Linked DNA regions of Elephas maximus indicus. The protein of the gene in region 1 binds, or shares a complex with, the protein of each later gene. Links are inferred from orthologs where the notes say so. Each region holds a gene or a part of one and is shown in the gene's direction. Other genes may lie near its edges.

Region 1 (7,235 bases):
AGCTAACATGTACAGGGCTTTTGGGGTGAAAGTTCTAAAATTGACTGTGGTGATGGTTGCACACATCTGTGAGTCTCCTAAAACCAGTGAATGTAAGAGAGGCATGTCACTTAGCTCCTGCTGTGTCATAAGCCACCCCAGACCTAGTGGCTGAGACATAAACCATTTATTCAGCCCCAGATCCTGCAGGCCAGGGATTTAGGCTGGGGGTCCATTCCACTGGTCTCTCCCAGCCCCCCATGCAGCTATGGCCAGCTCTTGGGACTGGTGGGCTGGGGCTGGGTAGCTCGGCTCTCCCCAGGGGGTCTCTCATCCCAGCTATGTCAGGGCATCCAGCAGGCTAGCTCAGGGTCCACCGTGAGCCTGAGACCTGAGAGAGGGGCCTGGGCTCACACCGGCATGCTGTCCCTACCCCACGTCCTGCTGGCTTAAGTGTGCCATGAGGTCAGCTCAGAGCCAAGGGTGGGGACTGACTTGACTGATATCATAATCTAAGTCTCTAGACACATAATGGTCTACCAGACTCTCTACTCCATTCACAGATCTGTCTCTTCTTACACCATCACATGGCCTCCATCGCTGTACTACTGTGTGTGCGCACGCATGTGTGTGTGCATGTGCACAGAGTATGGGTGCTGGGCGGGGCAGGGAGCCATGCAGGGTTGCATGGGCCTGATGTGGAGTGGGGACTTTATCCCGAGGGCAGTGGGATGAGGATACGGCACGGAGGACGTGAAGGTCACTGTGGTTCAGACTAGGCTGTGTGGTGGATGACGGTTTGCTGTGTAAAGCGGCTGAAGCTGGTGTGGGTGTGCCGTGAGGGTGGAGACAGGGTGTGCTCCCAGAGTTGGTTCCAGAAGTGAGGGTGCAGCAGAGCTGGGGGGGCAGGCTGGGGCTGCGTGGGGGCCAAAGGTAATTTTTGACATGCCAGTTTGGGGGCACCCAGGGGTACACCCAGATGACTGGATGGACAATGGCTGCAACCTGGTGGGCACATACTGCTGTGGATGTAACTCAAGGAGACCATGCCAGGGCTCGAGTCTTGCCCGATTCCCACTCCCAAGTCGCTTTCCGGCCCCATGACTGCTGGACCAGAGTGAGGTGGGGGGGACACAAAGCACAGTGGCCCCATGGGTTCTCCTTGTGCTCTCCTGAGGGGACTGACCTGGATAACTGTGCCTTGTGAAAGTCCCACACCCGGACAGTGAGGACCAGCTGTAGGGCTACGCCGACCCCTGGGAACCAGGAAAGCAGCACAGCCCCCAGGTCAGGGGATGCATAGGGGGTTGGGTTGTAATGACATTCACCCCGAGTCCATTTCATGGTGCCCACAGTTGAAGCCCGGACACACGTGGAGGTCATTCTCCAGAGTCCCCAAGACTCCACGGAAATAAATGGCCTGAGCACATGGCCCACCACCTACCTTGGCTCCCTGATCCCCTAGGTCTTGACTCAGGTGCCAGGCCCATCCTCGGCAGAACCGCAGAGGCCAGCACCCCCAGCCCAGTGAGGATGAGAAGTTTGTCCCATGTGGCCCTTCCGTCTGCCAGGTCAGTGAGGACGGGGACATGTGGCCTGGGGAGTGGACACAGGGTGCTGGCCCTGCCTCCTGCTGTGCTCAGGATGTGTGCTTTTGAAAGTGATGTGTTTACAAAGTCGAGCAGGAATATGGCCCCTACTCCAAGCCCCCAACAGCCCTCACCCAGCAGCCGCGTGTCGTCAGCTGCATCTTGCAGGTCCTCCTGGGTGATCTGTGGCCTCACTCACAGTTTACTGAGAGCCTGCAGGGTCAGGGCCTGTGATAGGTGTCGGGAGACAGGCAGACACCAGCCAGAAGCCCTCCACCCTCAGAAAGCGTGTCGTGTGGGGGCCGGAGGTGTGAGGGCAGAAGGGCAGACGGGAAAGGAAGGGTCTCGAGGGGACACCCACCAGATGCCTGTTTGGGCTGGATCTTGAAAACAAATCAGAAACGAAGCAATTCAAGAACTGGGCAAGCATGGACACCTATAGGGTGGGCAACATGAAGCTGGGGGTGGAAGTACTTCTGTGTTCTCCAATCCCATGCTGGGTGAACAAGGTACATTTAAAAATAAAGACTTACCTTTCTGCAGCTCACAGGTGCCCCTGACTGCGGCCAGCACACACAGGGAAGTCCTGCCACACGCATGACCTTCCCAACTTGCAGATGCGTGTGGGGTCAGCATGGATGAGGAATCTCCCCACATCTCTTCGCTGGGCCCCATGGCAGCCGTGGGGCGGATGTCACAAAAGGGAGCGAGGCTTGCAGGTGAACACGCAGTGGTGATAGACATGGCCAACAACACCCTTATGAGAGTGTCATAGGAGACCTGGCATCGAGAAGAGTGAACTATCTTAGCAGCTCCCCTGAAAACATCATTCTCCTGGTGAATGTGAGAGCTGGGCCGGAGCCGGATAGACTGGTCCTTCCAGAGCCCTAAGGTGAACTCTGAGCCTCTCCTCCTGAATCTAATCCAAAGGCACCTAGTTCTGCACATTTTGCAGGAACACCACCGCGAGCCCTGGGCGTTTAGAGGAGGGAGGCATGGTGCAGAGGACCACCACCATGGGGGGCAGCTGCAGGGAGTGCGCGCTACCCACAAAAATAATCAAGTTTTAAGCATTGAATGGGTTGCCCCCAGCCACCAAGCTTGAAATGGCAGGGCAAGGATCAGACTCGGGTCTGGTGACCTTGTGCCTGTGAGCCAGCCCACCTTCTGTAAAGACAAACAGAAAAGCAGACCAGTAAAAAGAACTGAGGAGCCGCCCCAAAACACCTAACTTGTTGAATAAGCGCCCAAAGCGAAAGTCAGAGTTTACGCACTAACATGCATGTTTGCTCTTGTAAGGACATCAAACCCACGTTCTCAGAAATTTCCTCTTCATTAGTCACAACTCCAACAAGCCTTGTTGGTTGGTTTCCCTTAAAGCGAAAGAAAGCAACAAGAACAGGGGAGACCCGAAGCCAGGCCGTGGGTACCGGGCAGACACCACCCCTCATGTGCGCATTTCTAGCCCCGTCGCCATCGCTATATGTTAGAAAGGATGAACGTTTCTCGCGATTTCTTTATCCTTTTCTGAAAACCCCGGTTGTGTAGGACCTCCAGGGCACTGGTGACAGCTGCCGCCTGGAGAGTTGTCCCCACACGTGACCATGGGGCCAGCGCTGCAGGCAGGTGGCGTCCCTCCTCCCAGGCACCTGCTGGGTGCCAGCCCACAGACAGCCCTCAAATGATTTGTTAAATTAATTTTTAAAAAGCCAATTAAAGTCAGTACACTGCGTTTAGAAAACAGGGAAGAGAATAATACATTTAAACAAGAAACTTCTATCAAAATTGTTAAAATAAAAATTTGATACTTATATAAGTAAGTCCTGGGGAGTCCGCTTCATCCCTGACGCCCTCCTGCCTTTTTCTACAGCAGAACCCGGGGCTCCGGCCAGCACAGCCTCCCCATCGGCCCTTCCAGCAGGGCCAGTAGGAGGTGGGCAGCTGTCCTCACCCTCACTGCTGCTTCCAGACCACCCTTCCCTTCTCGCCCAAGGCTCCAGCCTTGCCGTGTGTCCTCCCACGTCGGTGGACACCTGGCCTCGCCAGCTCCCGGCAGGCTCTTGCTGTCCCTGCTCTTGTCTCAATTCTCCACGAAGCAGCCCCCAGCCCTGGCCTCAGGCCTTGCACCCCCCCTCCGCCGTGTCTCCCCCATCAGGCCGCCGTCCGTCCCAGCCAGCACGCCGCCGGTGCGAGCAGCCGCTCAGTAAGCGCCCGTGGCGTGCGAGCCCTCAGCGGGACCCCAGGCGAGGCGTCACCCACGCGTGGACGGCAAATGCGGCCTTAATGAGCAGCTTCACAGAGACAGACAGACAGACGACGGCCGGCGGATTTCGCCAATGAGGCAGGCGGCGAGCGCCCGCGGGGAGAGGGTCCAGAGACTCCCGTCGTGGTCACGCAGAGCCGGGCACAGGCCCACGCGTGACTCTGGACCCCGCCAGCCACGCCCACCCGACGCCCTAAGGCCCCGCCTCCGCCGGCGAGGCCCCGCCCTCCCGCCGCCAATGCCGAGCGCGGCCGCCCCGAGGCCCCGCCCCCACCGCGGCCCCGCCCGCCCCGCAGGCCCCTCCCCTCACCACCGGCCCCGCCCCGCCCCGCAGGCCCCGCCCCGCAGGCCCCGCCCCTTCAACCGCCCCGCCCCTCTCCCGGCCCCGCCCCTTCCTGCCCGCCCCGTCAGGAGCCGCCGTCTCCCGCTCTGTCCACAGACCAGTGACAGGCAATCGTCGGTCGCCGCGTCCGAGGTCAGTGACTCCAGCGGCCCTCAGCCGCGGGCCCTCGGAGAGCTGGCAGTCCGGGGCCCACCCTCACAGGCGCAGGCCTCGCTCCGGCCGCCGGTGGACGTGTGCCGGGCGCTGCTGGGCCCTCGGAGCCCGGGCTGAAGGGGCGGTGGGAGCGGCCATGTGCGGGGGCGGGGTAGGGGCGAGGGGCGCCCGGCGAGGGCGTGGGGGCGGGGCCTGCAGAGGCAGCAGCACCGCCCAGCGGACGTCGGCGCGCCCTGAGGACGTCATCGCGCCTGAGTGCGCCCGCCCCCGGCCTCGGCCCGCTCCCGGGGCATGCTGGGAGTCCCGGCGCGGCTGCAGGTGTGCGCCTGCGTGGTCCGCCCCTCGCGGCCGGCGCGCGGGGGCGCCTGGGTCTCCCCGTCGGCTGGCGCCGCGCAGGCCACGCGAGCGAGGCTCGGCGCAGCCACGCTTCTTCCCCAAACGCGTAACCCTTGGCCTTATTTCCCAAAGAGCCGCCCCCGAAGGGAAGCTCTGGCAGAAAGGCCTCGCCTGGGTCCCACCCCAGGGGTGTCGGGAGGGGCGGGGCACCTCGGTGACCTCAGATCGGAGAGGGGCGGCCCCTCGGGCACCCTCCGGTGGTGCCAGGCCCCCGAGAGTCGGCGAACGGGCGGCCCCTTCCCGGGGGAGGAGCACCCAGAATTTTGCATGCGCTCTGGTTTTCTGGTGCAGCCCACGGAGCAAGTCCCGCGCGGGGTGTGCGCACCGACTACGTCGACACCGTGCGGACGGAGCCGGGCCGGGCCACGGTACCGAGAGAACCGGGCCAGAACTCTGGCCCAGGTCCTCGCCTACGGCTCCGCTCGCCGCCTGGGGACCCTGGGGCGGTTACCTGCCTCCCAACTCAGCCCCTGCTGGAGCCCCGAGCGGCCGGGGGGCTGGGGCAGCGCCCCTAGGGGCCCAGGGCCAGGTGGTCCCAGGGTTGATTGAAGTGTAAAACGAGTCCTTCCAGGCGCTTGGAGGTAACTGTCTGGTACCAGCAGAGGTGCCTACGCGGTGCCGGGAGGGTTAAGGACAGCTCGGGCAGTTGAGGAGGGCACTTGGGCGTGTTTGGCTCTAGGATGGTGTGCCAGGAGGGTAACAGTGAGTGATCAGCTGCAGAGCCTTAAAACAGCTTAAGTGTCCACCATGGAGACTGGCCGAATAAACAATACATGCAGACAACCTCACACGATGTGGCCATTAAAATTACATTGTATACTTGATTCTTGAGTGAAAAGGATTATAATGTAACATACTAATGTCTTTCTACTATTGTAGCAAATCACCGCCGATGTAGTGGTTTTGCACAAGACAGATATTTTTATTTCAGTCTTTGGGAGGGCAGAAATCCAAAATAAGTCTTCCAGGCTAAAATCAAGGTGTCAGCAGAGATGGTTCCTTCTAGAGGCTCCCCAGGGCAGAGTCCATTTCCTTGCCTTTTCTAGCTTCTAGAGGCCACCCTCATTTCTGGGCTGGTCTGTGGTCCCTTCCCCATCTTGGAAGTGCATCACACCACCTCTCGTTCTGTCCTCGCACCTCTGACACACCTAATATCAGACTTTTTTTTTTTTTTTTAAAGTGTATGCGTGTGTAGAGAAGGTGTGGGGGCAAATACCACAGCATCAGCAGACCTGTGGGGGGGGGGGCGGGGGACTCTGGGCCTTTGGTTTCATTCTCTTTGCTTATCTCTGTTTTCTGGTTAATTTGTTGGGAGACTAGTACACGGAGAGGCCCCTCTCCTCCCCGGCCCACCCTCGGCCTCCATTAGTCTTCATCCCCCATCTACTCAGAGACCTAGCAGCCCCCTCCCTATGTCAGGGTAGAGGGTGCCACTCGCTGTCTTCACTCTGCAGCTTGTCCTGGGTGCCCACCCTGTGCCAAGCACTGAGCCCGACCTGCCCTGCCCCTGGAGAGCTCATCGGCTGGAGGGACTCAGATGTGATACAGCCTACCGGTCAGTTAGCCTCGAGTGTGACAGGTCCTCCCAAGAGGCATGAGGCTAGGACCAAGTCCAGTCTGGGGAAGTCGGGGAAGTCCCTTGGGCCATGGCTGAGCTCAGAAGTGGGGAACTGAAAGTGGCTGGAACTTGGGGAGCCTCCTGCTGCACCCAAACCCTACCCCTGGAAGTAAAACAAGAATTTCGGTCATGCCCACCAGCTTGAAGGCTGCATCCCAGCCACTCTCCCCACCCTCCCTGTGGAGCATTTTCGCTGATCCTGCTGAGAGACCTGCACTCTTGGGGTGCTGGGCTCTGAGAGGGGAGAAGGGCCCTCTCTCTACAGTGACAAAGGAGCAGGGCTGCAAACCACCTACTTCCCAACAGCTGGAAGCCCCACACACTCAGGCCCCGCCCTCTGCAATCACCCCTGGCACACCCTGGACCCCCAGCCCCAGTGACCAGGCTCTGCCTGAGTGCCCTCCAGGCACTCCACGCAAGCCTACTTTAAACGGATGAGTTCACCTGGGCAAGGACCCCAACTGCAAATCCACTATGGGGCAAATCAGTGGCCCTTTGTTTCTGCCACGCAGTAAAGAGCCACTTGCTGACCAGCACACTGAAGCCCCCACCCCACCTTGGTCCCTTCTCAGGTGATGGTGGCTCTGTCTTTCCATCACCTGGGCCAAATTGTGAGCCATCCTGGTTTCCCCACACACACTGTGAGCCATGCTGGTCTTCCATACACACCATGAGCCATCCTGCCCACCCACCCCCCATGCACTGTGAGCCATGCTGGTCTTCCATACACACCATGAGCCATGCTGGTCTCCCCCCACACACTGTGAGCCATGCTGGTCTTCCATACACACCATGAGCCATCCTGCCCACCCACCCCCCATGCACTGTGAGCCATGCTGGGCCACCCCCACTTCCATGGTGTCAGCTCCACCCTACTTCCTGCAGTGGCCCCCT
Region 2 (7,306 bases), on another chromosome or scaffold:
AATGAAGTCCTGCTACATGCTACATCATGGATGAACCCTGAAAACATTATGCTGATTGAAATAAGTCAGTCATAATGGGACAAATAGCAGATGGTTCCATTTATATGAAATATCTAGGATCGGCAAGGGTATAGAGACCATATTTATTAGGCTTAGTGGACACTGAACTTCTGTTAAGGGTAATGGGAAATTTTGGGAATGGTGATGGTTGGACAACATGATAAACATAATTAATTCCACTAAATTGTACGCCTGAACAATGTTGAAAGGGCAAATGATTTTTTACATATATATTTACAACAATAACAAAAAAATTGCAAAAAGAAAGGTCTATCTTATATACTGGGTTTAGATTCACATTTGGGATTTCTGGATGGAAATGGGAGTCCTTGTGGCGCAGAGGTAAGAGCTCGGCTGCTAACTGAAGGACTGGTCGTTCAAATCCACCAGTTGCTCCTTGGAAACCCTATGAGGGCAGTTCTTTCTCTGTCCTGTAGGGTCCTTATGAGTTTGGTTTTTTGTTTTTGGATGGAAATCGATATGTTGAGAGATGGTGTCCTACTTGTTACCCTCTTTCAGGACGAGGAAGAAGTCAGGGGTTGCACTGACTTTGGATAACCCTCTTGGCCATTTCATCCTTTCCCCTCTCTTCTCTCCTCTTTCAATCACTGCTCACCTTAAGGCAGGGCTAGAGCCACAGAGCCATTTTCTCTTAGCCTCAAGACAGCCCCTCACTCAGCCCATTTCTTGGAATTCTTTCTTTCCTCCTCAGAACCTCTTGAAGAGAAACAACCATAAAACCATAGGCTGGCTAAAACCAGTCCTGCCCCGATCTTGGCATTTCAGATAGTCTTTAGCTCCTTAACTGCCTCATGCATGGTAGCTATGAGTCAGAATCCACTCCACAGCAATGTTGTTTTTTGTTTTAAGGTGGAGAGCTAACATGCTAATGAACAAAAATGGCTAACTTCCTCCTGCACTGAGAATGGAACCCAGGCCTTAAAAAATACTCATTCTGAAATGCTCTGCACCTTCCCACATGCCCTTTTGTATTCTGAAACTGATCCTTCCTATATAAACCAGGCTCAACAAGCTCCCTTCAAGGCAGTCTTGGATAGCACACAGCCCAGGCTGCCTCTTCCCTTGGTCTACCAATAAAGATGCCTTTCGTTCTTCCCAGCTCGGTCTGTCTTTCTGGCTCTGATGGAGTTGCACTGAGCAGAACCTGGAGTTCCCAGCAACAACCTCGCTCTGCCTGGCTCACATTTCCATCTTTTTCTGTTCTAATTTTTCTCTGCTTCCTCAGTTTCTCAGTTTGACAAGGGGCCACAGAATACTATTTTGTGTATGTGTGTGTGTGTGTGTGTGTTTGGGGGGTCGTGCTGGGCTTTTGGAGGCTGCCTAATGACTGCCCATCCCTAGATGTAAAACATAAGACATAAAGACATCCTTATGCTAGACATTCCCCCCTTCCTTGTTCTTTTAAAGATCTGAACTGTGATCCTGAATTCTTCTTGTTGGACCAGATCCTCGAAATTCTTCTGGCCCTGGGAAGGTACCAAAAGAATGACCACTTTTATGCAGCCATGCTCACCACTTTGGTGGAATCTTATGGACTAAATCAGACATTCCACCAGGCACCTTTATATCAGGCCCTGTGCCATAATTATCTCTGCCCCACTCCCGCTGTTTCATGAACTAATTCTAAATTGGCCCCCCAGGATGATCTAAGCACTATCTAACCACCTGAGCCAAATAAAACCTGGTTGGGGTTGGGGTGGTGGACGAATTACGATAACATGAAACAAATCTCATGCGACATCAGCTCTTCCTTACGTCCACTTCCTCTTCCAAATTCATACACATTAGCAAGTACGTGGATTTTCCTAAAGATTTCTTGAATACTACATGGCAAAGATTGTAAGGATGGCACAGGACCCACCAGTGTTTCGTCCTGTTGTACCTAGGGTCGCTGGGAGTTGGAACCTGTTAGATGGTACCTAATGTCAACAACATTGCAAATACAATTTAAAATTCTTAAAGAATTTGTTCTTCCCATCCAATTTCTTCTCTTCTCCCCCCTTCTTTCTTTCCCTCCCCAGGGCTTCAAAACTGCCAGCTATTTTAAGCCCAAGTTTTTAGCAAAACAAAAATCTGGCAGATGGTTGAGTTCATTCCCCTTAGACAGCAATTCAGAGGTCATCTGGTATTATTTCACCATGCTCCTTGGGGAGAGGGAGCCTCAACCCCACCCTGAGTGAACAAGAGCTAACATTTCTTAAAGTTGTTCTTATGCCAGATGGTGCTCTACTTCTTGTACACATCTTACCTTATTTTGTCCTAAAAACAAATCTAAGAAGTACATACTATTACTACCCCCATTTTAGAGAGGAGCAAACCAAGGAACAGGGAAATTAAATTCTGTAACTTGTGTAAGGCCAAATACAAATTGAAAAGAAGGGAAGAGGAACCACTCCCCTGTTCTTTCAGGATTCACTATAGATAACTTCTAAGGTTATCTAAACATTGTCTCTTTGAAAAGTATGTAAATAAAGGATGTTACCTGGAGGAACTGGGAAGCAACACTTTTGCCATGTGATCTCCTGGAAGGAGATTAGCATAACTTTGGGTATCTTGCCAAAAAGATACAAGAAAATTAGCAATTTTATCTTGAAAACATGAATGTAGTGAGTCCTGTTTACTTAGCTCTATAAAGGGTCAGATTCCTTCCTGTCTTTGGGATCTCTTTAGCTGATTGCCAGTGATGTATCACATTCTGGTTTTATGTTTATTGAATAATAAAACTTTTCTTTCTCTTCTCTTTTAGTGCAGAGGTTTTCTGGGTTGGGAGTAGATTTTAAGTAACTTTTCTCCAACACTTGCCCAGCTCTTCAGGCGCTGAGCCAGGCTTTTGGCTGAGGCAGTCTGCATCCAGAGCATGGATGAATATTTTGATAATTCTCACTCTAGAGAGATCAGTTATTGCCCAGCAAAAGCAAGTCTCTTTCCAGGAGGGAATTCTGCTGTTAAGAAAGATAATGTTCTCTGCATTTCGTTTTCTCCAAAAAGCACTCTGGCTGCTTTAGTTGTCTTTAGTTCCCCTACTCAACTTTTACCTCCATGATGAGTTTTCACTGTGGATAAGCACACACCCTCATTACTCCAGGAGTAAGGTCGAGGGTGGGCAGGAAGTCACTCGAATTGGGTGAGGTCATTGTAGAGGCATTCTTCTCTTCCCAACCCAGGCCCTTTCTCTCTCCTTCTCCATATCCAGGAAGTCTGCCTGCAGGGGACATCAGAAGCCCCCACCCAGGAGGTGTGCACTTGGGAGATGTGGAATTCTGGCCAGGGCACTCCAGAACGCCTGGGGAGAGAAAGGGAGAGCCCTCTCCTGAGATCCCTTTACCTGCTGTTGTAGGGGACAAAAATTTCCAAGTTCAGTAAAGCAAAAAGAAAGTTTTATTAGGCATATATTCAAAAGGACAAAAGCTGGGAAGCGGACAATCATTTTGCCAGAGCTTTGTCTGCCTGAGCCCAAGGAAATATTACAGGGTAAGCAAGAATGGCAAAACAGATAAGCTTGCTGCCACAGCCATGTCTGCCTGAGTCCAAGGAAATTATAGACAAAAGTGGGAAAACGGACAACCATACTGCCACAGCCATGTCTGACTGAGTCCACGGAAGGTTACAGAGTCCTCAGTATATATTAACATTACAAATGGGCAAAACCACTGAAAGCTTCACCTTTTCACAGACTGGCTAGAAACTGTCATCCTACATTTCGAATTGTCTTTCTTAACAATCATTGGTACAGGTTTCAGTAAGGACAGTCAGGAGGGTGACAGTCAGGAGGGTCTTCGTTGGTCCAACAAATTTCTATTCACTAAATGTTAATAGAAAGATAAAAGTAGAAAATCTTTTGTGTTCTGGCTTAAGTGAAAGTTTCCCTAAGAGATATTTTCCGAGATTATTCTATCCATTGTCTTTATACCTCAGGGCCCAGTTGATGTGTCCTTGTGAGCCCTTCTGAGCCCAGCTCCAACTTGGTCACATTCTCTATACTCAAACACACACCTTAAGGACAGGGAATAATGACTTCAATATAATTTCTTAAATCAGTGCCCTTGTTAAGCTCCAAGGGGTTCTTGGTGAAAATTAGCCCCTAAGTGATAACAAAGGTTTTGCTATGATTCGTGAAGACTGGGTGCCAGCAGCCCTAGTGACTTTCTCCACTGTTCCTAGGGAATCAGTAGAGAGATGAGGCTCACAAGGTAAGAAAGACTTCTAGAAGCAAAGACATGCTTTCCCCAGCAACACTGAGATGGGGGTGGCTTGAGTGGTTCCCCACCCTTCTTCCCTCAGTCCTTGCTTCTGTATGGACTGATCCCAACAGGCTCCTCCCACCCCTCCCTTCTTGGAAGCCAAGACCCTTTGCAATTTGTATAAGGTTCACATCCTGGGGACAAGTGATAGCAGAAACTCCATCTGCTCTCTCCTGGAGACCAAGGTAAGCTGCCCCAAAGATATCCTCAGAATGTGCTTCTGCTCAATGGTCGGAGAGGAGGGAGGCAAAGGCGGGTAAGGCTATCAAAGAGAAAGCTTGGGCCAGGTAATCATCGCTCAGGGGAAGAGTTGGAGTGGGGAGTGGAAAATTAAGGCTCCAGAGAACCTATGGACTGGAGAAGGGGGAGCCTCCAAGTTAGGAAAGGGAGCATATCTCTTTAGAATGCCGTGGAACCGCTTTTTCAGTGCCTGTATCAGGTACTGGGTTGAGGTTCCCTTGTGTTGTAGGGCAAGAAGGCTCCGTCAACCATGATCCTAAACATCCTGGTGGACCTCAGGGATACGACTGGGCTCATGGTTTATTCAAAATGATTTTCTAATGAGCCAGTTGAGCACTAGGTACAAATGTTTATTTTTCAAATATATTTTAGAGCAAAGAAACTATAGGATCCAGACAGGACTGCCAGGATTTTATGTCGCTTCTTAAATTTTTGTTAGTACTGTGAAGCAGTGCCAGGCTTAGGTCAGGTTCAAACCACCAACTTTTGTACTTAGGTACTTTACCATTTGTACCATCCAGGAGCTCTTTCTCTATTTAGTGAGATTAAAATGCTCCTGAAGGGGAGTATATGTAAGTGTCTCTTTACTTGGAAAATCAGGAAGAGGGGCTTCTATCTGGCTGACCTAAAAGGGAGACTATAAACCAGGGAACCCACAAGAGGGAGCTGGCGTTCTTTCTAAGAGGATGTTTTTCCATCTCTCTGCCTTTCTTGGGCAGGCTCCCCCAGGTGAGTGAGACAACCATGGCTCTGGAGAAGTCCTTTGTCCTGCTCCCTCTGCTAGCCCTGATGTTGCTGGTGCTGGGGTGGGCCCAGCCTTCCCTGGGCAAGGAATCCCCAGCCAGGAAGTTCCAGCGGCAGCACATGGATTCAGACAGCAACCCTAGCAACAGCTCCAGCTACTGCAACCTAATGATGAGGCGCCGTAATATGACAAAGGGATATTGCAAGTCAGTGAACACATTTGTGCACAATCCCCTGGTAGATGTCCAGGCCATCTGCCTCCAGAAGAACATCACCTGCAAGAATGGGCAGCCCAACTGCCACCAGAGCAACTCAAGCATTCCTATCACAGACTGCCGCCTGACGGGCAGCTCCAAGTACCCCAACTGTGCGTACCGGACCAGCAACAAGATGAGACATATCATCGTGGCCTGTAAGGGGAAACCGTATGTGCCTGTCCACTTTGATGGTTCAGTGGAGGTCTCCTCCTTAGGCCAGAGCACACATACCCTCACCACCTCATGACTGTGACATCTAGGTCACAACACACATATGGGTCTGGGTCTTGCCCCTCAGTGGTTTTGGCCGTTAGGGGCGGGGATTTGGGGATTATATTTACATCTTCACCGCTTCTCTTTATATAATATAGTTGCAACCACATGGAATCCTGAAGCTGTCCCTACCCAGGCAGTGTTTCTGTAATTGCTTTCCTGCAAGGGCAAGAAGTATAAAATTAACTAAATCTGTGAACATATGTGAGGTGTGGGATCACTTTGCAAAAAGCATTTTGGCCTTCGTTTTCTGTTCTTTTGAGCCATACTAATACCTGAGGCTAATGAATGGGGGGCTGACCAGCACAAGAGGGGTCAACGTAGGAGCCTGATGCTGTTCAGGCATTATGTAATCTATCCTGGCCATGGGATGAAGGTGATAAGAGCCCTGAGCCCTAAGGCTCAAATGGAGCTTCCTGGTTGGTGACCATGCTTGGGAGGGGATGTGCATCCCTCTTTGGGAAATGGAAGCTTCACTCTGACCCCTCCCAGACCTCACCCTATTTGTCCTTTTGTTTGTATCCTTTTTGGTTGTAATAAAGTTGTAGCCATAAGAATGGTATACTCTCCTAAAGGTTCTAAGATTAGTTCTAGCAAATTAACAAACCCACAGGGATGATGAGAGCCAGGAGAGGCTGGTGTCTGCCTATTTGGCAATCTGAAAGATGGTGTCCTTCTAACCTTTAGTGTCATACCTAGCTCTGAATGGCTAGAGTCCAAGAAATGTTGCATGGGCAGCTGGTTTGAGTTGATGTCCTTTTAACTCGTGACTTCTGACCCAGCTCTGGGTGGCTAACATTGGAGAGGAAGTGTGCTATTTGAGCTACTGGTGATGAGGATGGGGAAGTGGGATGGCGAGTATTAGACCCATTACCACATTTGGGGGATTGGATTCATGCTAATCCTTACCGCTCAGTTAGCAATGAAGGTGAGAGTTTCCCACTGCACCCCTTGCTTAGGGCAGTAGTGAATGGAATAATTAAATGCCTACACTTCTTCCTCTTAGTTTTTAGTGACCTGAAAGAATTCCATCTCTTTTGGATTCCTTGATTTCAAGCATAACGCTGTTCAGTGTGGATGTTTTCGATAAAAGGGGGTCATGGCCAAGACTCTGGCACGGAGGGAAGGATAGCATGACTTCAGGAAGACCCTGCCAGTCTCAGGGTGGGGAGGTAGAGCCTATAAAATTATGTTCCTCTTTTTAAATAAGCTATTACTGAATCAGAAAAATGGGCATATTGGCTCTAGTACATGGAAAGTTGGAACCATACATTTTAGAGCTAGAAGAAATGTTAGAGAATTACGAGACAGCAAGTAGGTTTCAGCTTGTGTGTCAACTAATTAATTGACAGGGCTGCTTAGAATGTCGCAGAAAAAAAATTCTAAGTAGTGATGTGATTGAACAGTAGCCTCTACTGAAGGCACAAGAAGGGAAGGAGTGTGTGTGCCATATGTTTGCCATCCCTGAAC

Evidence for each region.
Region 2: the proteins of RNH1 (region 1) and ribonuclease pancreatic-like are in contact, whole or in part, in a crystal structure (PDB 3TSR), measured with the Mus musculus proteins. The link is inferred for Elephas maximus indicus from reciprocal best matches to the Homo sapiens genes RNH1 and RNASE1. Residues at the interface, in NP_001165571.1 of Mus musculus: Cys7, Asp32, Thr60, Asn89, Asp117, Glu145, Tyr146, Asn174, Glu202, Trp257, Trp259, Glu283, Ser285, Trp314, Lys316, Glu340, Glu397, Ser401, Asn402, Gln426, Val428, Tyr430, Asp431, Ile432, Tyr433, Trp434, Thr435, Asn436, Glu437, Arg443; in NP_035401.2 of Mus musculus: Arg26, Glu27, Lys32, Gln36, Pro48, Thr49, Gln53, Lys56, Arg57, Met60, Asn62, Gly63, Ser64, Cys65, Lys66, Pro67, Val68, Asn92, Lys94, Asn96, Leu111, Lys112, Gly113, Asn114, Ser115, Lys116, Asp121, Ala134, Glu136, Val143.

The regions. Positions count from the first base shown.
Region 1 is NC_064825.1:137,557,767-137,565,001, forward strand, and holds the start of RNH1 (ribonuclease inhibitor), read left to right. Parts: upstream 1-4,215; 5' UTR 4,216-4,306; intron 4,307-6,032; exon of another isoform or gene 6,033-7,235. UniProt on the Homo sapiens protein: Ribonuclease inhibitor which inhibits RNASE1, RNASE2 and angiogenin (ANG). May play a role in redox homeostasis. Required to inhibit the cytotoxic tRNA ribonuclease activity of ANG in the cytoplasm in absence of stress.
Region 2 is NC_064828.1:31,191,717-31,199,022, reverse strand, and holds ribonuclease pancreatic-like, read left to right. Parts: upstream 1-4,462; 5' UTR 4,463-4,507; intron 4,508-5,281; 5' UTR 5,282-5,306; coding exon 5,307-5,810; 3' UTR 5,811-6,733; downstream 6,734-7,306. UniProt on the Homo sapiens protein: Endonuclease that catalyzes the cleavage of RNA on the 3' side of pyrimidine nucleotides. Acts on single-stranded and double-stranded RNA.